2 linked regions of the Oryctolagus cuniculus genome follow. The protein of the gene in region 1 interacts with the protein of each later gene in a pairwise test. Links are inferred from orthologs where the notes say so. Each region holds a gene or a part of one and is shown in the gene's direction. Other genes may lie near its edges.

Region 1 (3,560 bases):
TAACATGGATAGAGAAATTTGAATGCTCATATATAGCCTGTGAGGATATAAGGTTGTGCAGCTGCAATGGAAAACAGTCTAGCAGCTCCTCCAACATATGATCCAGCAGTTCTGCTCCGAGGTATATATCAAGAGAAATGAAAACATGTCCACATAAGAACTTGTAATAAATATTCATAGCAGCATTCATTTTTTATAGTAGACAAAAAGTAGAACTAACCCTAATGTCTCTAAGCTGTTGATTGGATAAAGAGTGGTATTTCCATGTAAAGGAATATTATTTGACAATAAGAAGTTAAGTACTACATGATAAAATGTGGACAGATCCTGAAAATATACTAAGTGAAAGAAGCCAATCACAAAGAACCACATGTTGTAGAATTCCATTTACATAAATGCCTAGAATAGCCAAATCCATAGAGACAGAAAGTAGATTAGTGACTGCCTGGGACTGGGGGGACTGGGGCTGAAAGATAAGTCTTTTGGGGGAGGGTAATGACAGTGTTCTAAACTTATGGTGACAGATACACAGCTCTGAATATACTAAAAGCCACTGAGTTGTGCACTTTAAATGGTGAATTGTATGTCATATGAATTCTGTTTCAAGCTGTTAAAAAAGAATGCTACTAAACCTGCTAACATGTTTTTGCTTTCAGTTCTTTCTACAACTGCAACAGGCAGCATTGGAAGTCTTTGCAGAGAATAATACTCTTAGTAAACTGCAGCTGGGACAGCTTGCCTCTATGGAGAGCTCTGTCTTTGATGATATGATTAACCTCTTAGAGCGCCTGAAGCATGACATGCTGACCCGTCAGGTAGACCATGTTTTTAGAGAAGTTAAAGATGCTGCAAAATTGTATAAAAAAGAAAGGTATGTCCTCTATGTAAATTAACTTTTAATACCAGCTTGGTAAAGCTAAGATAGTAGGTTCATGAAGTCAGATTCCCAGGGTTTCTAGATAAAGCAGCATTGGGCCTTCTGTACTCCAGACTTGAACTGTGTCTCATGGACATCTTTGTGAAATATTCTTTGGGACATTCTTAATAAGAATAAACTGATCATAATTTAGTCTTCAACTGTTGGTAAAGAAAGCTGTTGTGGCCGGCGCCGTGGCTCACTAGGCTAATCCTCCGCCTTGCGGCACCGGCACACCGGGTTCTAGTCCCAGTCGGGGTGCCGGATTCTGTCCCAGTTGCCCCTCTTCCAGGCCAGCTCTCTGCTGTGGCCAGGGAGTGCAGTGGAGGATGGCCCAAGTGCTTGGGCCCTGCACCCCATGGGAGACCAGGATAAGTACCTGGCTCCTGCCATCGGATCAGCACTGTGCGCCAGCTGCAACGGCCATTGGAGGGTGAACCAACGGCAAAGGAAGACCTTTCTCTCTGTCTCTCTCTCTCTCACTGTCTACTCTGCCTGTCAAAAAAAAAGAAAAAAAAAAAAAAAAAGCTGTTGTATGACCTGGGGTTGAATAGCTTAGCCTGTCACTCATTTTATAAAATAAGGTGCTTTATGGCGGTGTTTGGCCTGGGAGTTAGGTGCTCCTTGGGATGCCAGCATCGCATACCGTGCCTATACCCAGCTCTGGCTCTTGACTCCAGCTTCCTGCCTGTGCAGATTGTGGAGGCAGCTATGACAAATCAAGTGGTTGGATTCCCAGCTCTGGCTTCAGCCCCAGCTGAGAGGCATTGCAGGCCTTCGGGAAATGAGCCAGCGGATGGGAGTTAGCTGTCTTTGCCTCTCAAATAGTTTGAAAAATTAAGAAAAAGTTGACAGTGCCAGGTATCAGTTCCTAATGAATGCAAATCTTTACTTAAGCAATGGAATAGTAACAACAGTTATGTAAGTTAGACTGTTTAAATAAAATGGCATTTGTTGATTCCACATGGTAAAGAAAGTATCCTGATAGTATTATGTTAATTGCTAATTTTTAATAAGAAAAATACAGCCTTACAAGGTTTCTGTTAGAAAGTTTCTATTTATACACCCTACATGAATCTGATTTGGATAGGTGATGAACAAAAGGAAGTAGGGTAGACAATACATGTCAGGATAGTGAATAGTTATAATATGTCTTTGGTATCAAGAAACTGCTGTGTTGTACTATAATGTTTTTATGTTCGTTGAAAGCAATTTTCTTTGATAAACAATGAGAGTTTTTTTTATTTGGATCAGAAATGATGAGTTTTCCTAAAGTTAGTGGAAAATGCATATTATGGAAAAAAAAGAAAAGACTATTCATGGATTTCAATGTTCCTCCTCCAAAATAAACTTAGTTTTGAACTCCTTTAAAAAAAAAGTTTAATTTTTACAAATTATAATACCTTGTTCATGCTTGCATTGTACAATTTATTCCACTATCATAATTCCCATGGACACCTTTGGTACCCCCAAGAATGAGACATGCTTGAGAGCAGGCAATGTGTGTTTATCCTAGCACAGCCAGAGTACAAATGCTCCCCCAGTTATGATGAGGTTACATCCCGATAAGCCCATTCTAAGTTGGAAATACTAAGTTGGAAATAAGTTAAAAATGCATTTAATATACTTATCCTACTAAACATCATAGCTTAGCAACACAGTACACAGTAGAGTATCTGTTATATACCCTCCTGATGGCAGCTGTCACTGTCTAGTGTTATGCTACTCTCATTGGGAAGATTAGATTCAAAGTGTGCTTTTACTGAATCCACACTGCTTTCACATCATTATAAAATTGCAAAATTCTAAGTCAAACTATGTTTTTAAAAAGATTTATTTATTAGAAAGGCAGAGTTAGAGAGAGGGGGAGAGAGAGAGAACTTCCTTCTGCTGGCTCACTCCCCAAATGACCACACAACTGGGGCTGGGCCAGGCTGAAGCCAGGAGCCTAGAGCTTCACCCAGGTCACCCACATGAGTGGGAAGGGGCCCAAGTACCTGGGCTGTCTTCCACTGCCTTCTCAGACACGTTAGCAGGGGGGTGGATCACAATTGGAGCAACTTGGATTCAAACTGGTACTCATGTAGTGTTGCAAGCAGCAGCCTAACTCACTGCCCCACAACACTGGCCCCTAAAGGTCAACCATTTAAGTCAGGACCTCTGTATGTATGGTCATTTCAGAGGTGTTACTAGTCCTCATTGCTTTTACTGAAAATCAGAGTATAAAAGTAGTTATGTCTTAAAATATACATTTAAAATTTTAAATTTTATATCAAGTCATTAAAATATGGGCATTTTCTAGGAACACTTATCCTCACTAAATAAAAGGAAATTTAATTGAGAGTTAAAATATAAATAGAAGTACATATGTTTTCCGATAGAGCATTTAATGTTGGACTTATTTTCTTTTAAAGATTTATTTATTTATTTGAAAGGCAGACTACACAGAGAGAAAGGAGAGGCAGAGAAAGAGAGAGGTTTTCCATCTGCTGGTTCACTCCCCAATTGGCCTCAACAGCCAGAGCTGTGCCAATCCAAAGCCAGGAGCCAGGAGCTTCTTTCAGGACTCCCATGCTTTCTACCGCTTTCCCAGGCCATAGCAGAGGGCTGGCAGCTGGGACTTGAACCGGCACCCATAGGAGAG
Region 2 (4,136 bases), on another chromosome or scaffold:
CTGTGGGGCAGCAGGTAAGGGACTGTGCTACATATGGAAGTACCCCCCATATGGAAGGGCCTGGGATCAAGTCCCACCTCTACCTCCAATCCAGTTTCCTGCTAATGAGCAACCTAAAAGGTAGCAGATGATGGCTCAAGCACTTAGGTCCCCGCCACCACATGGGAGGCCAGCATGGAGTTCCTGGCTCCTAGCTTTAGCCTGGGCGTTAGATAAAGGCCAGTGTTTAAAAAGGAGAATGTTTTATAAAGAAGCCTGTTTAGGGACTGAAGAACATCCAAGAGAGATAAAAGTACGAAGTTCAGAAAATAAAAAAAGTCCCTGAAGACTGGCAGGCTGGAGGCGTTCCCCTCTCTGCGTTAGGGCACAGTGTACTCACCAATGTTGGCAGGAAAGGGGACTTCGTGCACAGCCGGGTCCAGATTGATCACATAGGGCGGGGAACCTTGGCTGTGCAAGTGCCCAGTGAGCCGCTGCAGACAGGAAGATGGGAGGGGGAGGGAGAGGAGGAGGGGGTGATCAGGAAGGGCATTTCCACTCCTTCACCCACCGCCCTCCAGCCACCCGAAATATCCACCCTGCTTCCAACATCAAATCTCGGCTCAAACGCTACTTTTCCTTATCACTCACCTGACAGAGCCTCCCCTACTCTTGCCCACTTATTAACTTGTATTGCAAACCCATATGGCGAGTATCTTTCTATCTCCTCCATGAAAGTAAAAACCTTGTCAACCGCATTTTCTCCGTATCCCCCATGCCTGGAACATGAGAGGGGCCCCAGAAATAACTTTTTTCGCAAATCTTCACCGAAACCCAATGGGTTAACACCGAATCTATCTACTCCATGCCTTGTGAGTCTGCCTTCGAGAGGCTGGCAACTTCCCCAGCAAACAGTTCCAACACAACGTGGTAAGTCGAACCAAGTGTGCACAGAAGAGGGCTTCAATGAACACAGGCGCGGGTCCGCTATGCCTCAGCCCACGAAGCAGCCGGAGTTCGGTGAAGTCCCTGAAAACCACGCGCCGGTGTCCTCCAACTCCCCACGGACTTCCGTCGCTTTCTCCCTGGCCTTCTGCCCGCCACCACCTCTCGCGCTGCCCTACCCCGCCCGCGCAGTGTGCGTCACCTGGACAAAGGTGGTTTTCCCGGATCCCGCCATCCCCAACACCAAGAGGCACACGGGGGGCCGAGGACCCCCGGACGCCTGGGGCTCCGCCGCAGCCGCGAGCGCCGCCATCTTTGCTCAGGCCCCGCCCCTCACCACAGAGGCGCGGCGTGGCTAGAGAGGCCTCCGCGACGTTCTAGATTGGGCGGAGAATAGAGTCGAACGCCGCCGAGAGGCGCCGGCCAGCGGGTGCCGAGTTTCTGCTGCGGGCGGGCTAGTGACGCCGGGAGAGAAGTGAGGGGAGCAGAGAAGCGAGAGGAGAGGGCTAGCGGAGCCGAAAAAGGAGCACTGCCCGTCGCTGGCTCCTCGGAGCGGGAGACGAGATGGGCTCCCAAGGGCCGAACCCCCACCACACGAAAAAGAGGGGCGTACGTCTCATTTTGGGGTCCCAAAGAGCTAGGACCGAAGACGCTGGTCTGCCGCCTGCTAGAGCTTGTTTGGCACCCGAGGAGATTAAACAGCTCAGGGCTGGGCTGACCGGGGCGGGGGCTAAATGGGACGCTTGGGGGTGCTGGGCAGCGCGGAGACCCGTCGAGCCGCAGACTGAGCAGCTGCAAGACCTTTCCGCCTTCACGACCCCCGACGTCAGCGCGCGCTCCTCGGCGACCACCCTCCGAGAACTGCGCAGCTACCGCTGTCAACAGCTGGATTCCAGGAGCAAGTGAGTGCGGCCACGGAAAGAGGATGAAGGAGCCCGAGAAGTATCCCCGCTCCCCATCACCGTCCCGCGTCCGACGATCTGGGTTTCATACCCAGGCGCTGCCACTGGTCAGCCGTCTGGTTTCTTGTTCTTTAAAACGGACACTACGCCGCGGGGTTGCAGGGAATGCCTATTGCAAATTGTCGGCGGTACCCCCAGCATCTTCAACCCTGGTTGTATTTCCCGTGGCTTGCAGAGTGTTTGGAACGTAGTAGGTCTCCAAAATACTTGTTGAGCTGCCACTTGGGACACCAGCATTCCGTATCTGAATGCCTGGGATCAAGTTCCAACTCCACGTCCAGTCTAGCTTCCTGCAATGCGCCTGGGAGGCAGCAGTTGGTGGCCCAGATACTTGGGTCCCTGCCACCCACGTGGGAGATGCGGATGGAGCCCCAGCTGTGGCAGGTATTTGGGAAGTGAACCAGCAGATGGGAAATCTGCCTTTCAAATAAGTAAATAGTCGCTGTATTAATTAAGGACAATTGTGCATCTTTTATGATTGCTTAAATTTGCATTAAGAACTGACAGAGGCACGTCTCATGGGCTCTCCCTTCAGGTTTGCCGAAGGTCCCAGGAGTTCCCCTCCGTCGTACCTCAGTCTAATAAATAATCTGCTCCAGCCCCAGAAGCTAACAAGTGCGGAGATGCGCATCAGAAGAAGAATGGCGAAGGTGCGAGAGCTGGACACGCAGATTAAAGCAGCCCGAGCCCAGCAGCAGCTGTTACTGGAGGACACCAGGCAGCTGCACGAGGAGGAGCTACACTTCCAGGCGGAAAACAGGTTCTTTCTGGAGTACCTGACCAAGAAAACGGAAGAGCTGGCGAAGGAGCCCGTGAAGCTGTGGACGGAGTACATACAGGAAAGTCGAGAGATTAAAAGGGGGAGACAGAAGTTAGCCGCCAGATATGCCAAGAAGTCTGCAGTGCTTAAAGCAGAGCTCATGCAGAAGAAAAAGATACAAGCCGATTTGAAGCAGCAGCTGCAGGATCTGAGAGACATTTCGCTGTTAAAGGAGAAACAGGACATACAAATCCAGAAATTACAGGAGGAGAAAAACAAGATCGAAGCGCAGATCGCCGCCGAGAAACACGCCCAGTTCCTCAAGGAAAAGGCCCTGCTGGAGGAGCAGCTGAATGAGCCAGACGTGAGGCACTTGGGAAAGCAAGAAAGGAGGGCGCTCAGGGAGAAGACGCAGGCCCTGAGGTCGGCAGCAAAGCAGGCTGAGGTGAAGTTCTGCCACGGCATCCAGGCAGAGAACCAGCGGCTACGCAAGGAATGCTGGCAGCTAATGCGGCAATCCCAGAAATTAGAGGCTACTCAAAGCCAGTTAAGGAGCCAGAAGCAGCAGCTGGAGCAGGAACAGTGGCTTGTGCAGAGCATGCTCCGTGGGAGGCAACGGCTGCAAGAAAGACGCCATGGGTGCCCTAAAGGACAGGGTGTCCCCCAGGCACCACCGAGGCCTCCCCTGGGCGCCGCATCAACGATAAACCCCCCGTAGTTCCTCAAATACGTACCCAGCAAACCTGTTAGGAAAGGCTTTTGAATTCCAGATTGTAGTAAAATACCATACGTGTTGGTACAAAAGACTAGGTGCAGTCATGTAAGGTGACCGGCTTCCTTTAAGCAGTATTTTAAAAAACTACCTTATGTTGATAAACACAATTTTCAGACTTCCAGTTAACCTAATACCTGATAGCCCAACCTGTTTCACCATCTCCGAAACACCCCATACATCCAGCAAGTTCAGAAACACCCACTTGGGGTGTGTGATTTCATCTAGCCAAGTTAAGATTTCTTTATAGAGAAAATACCTTTAAGGACAGCATTTCACTGAATAGAGCTTTCTGCTGTATAAATAACACGGATCAGTTTACTTGTATTCCTTTTGGCCAAATCAGCAGACAAGGATGAAGTGTTTCTAAGTTCTTTTTTAAGTGTAGGCCAGTGGGTGGGTAGCTTCTTTTACAGATTCCTCGCCAGTTGAAAAAGTACTCTGATAACAGCAAGCCCACTAAGTGCTAGGTTGAATGACCTTTGAAATCTGATGATGAACCCCTACAAAAATTTCAGCTTTGAATACATTAAGGGGGTAAGAGGATTTGAATGGTGACATTTATTAAGTTGCCTCTTTTTTGTGAAATGTTCTTTGAAGAAACACTTTTAGCATTAAAGAAGTGATTGAATGCCTGTTTCAGGAAAACCTATCAAAAAAGTTTTAAAATATTTGGACTTAAGAATCTTTTGCCACCCCTTTCCATATCAACATTCTA

Evidence for each region. The genes of interacting proteins can lie anywhere in the genome.
Region 2: the proteins of RINT1 (region 1) and CCDC121 interact in binary tests that used the Homo sapiens proteins (3 or more experiments, as listed by UniProt). The two-hybrid records come from large-scale screens. The link is inferred for Oryctolagus cuniculus from reciprocal best matches to the Homo sapiens genes RINT1 and CCDC121.

The regions. Positions count from the first base shown.
Region 1 is NC_091434.1:138,792,323-138,795,882, reverse strand, and holds part of RINT1 (RAD50-interacting protein 1), read left to right. Parts: intron 1-656; coding exon 657-871; intron 872-3,560. UniProt on the Homo sapiens protein: Involved in regulation of membrane traffic between the Golgi and the endoplasmic reticulum (ER); the function is proposed to depend on its association in the NRZ complex which is believed to play a role in SNARE assembly at the ER.
Region 2 is NC_091433.1:175,379,074-175,383,209, forward strand, and holds the start of CCDC121 (coiled-coil domain-containing protein 121), read left to right. Parts: upstream 1-1,298; 5' UTR 1,299-1,488; coding exon 1,489-1,826; intron 1,827-2,421; coding exon 2,422-3,364; 3' UTR 3,365-4,136. Other genes in the region: GPN1 (GPN-loop GTPase 1), read right to left, coding at 380-473, 1,127-1,237.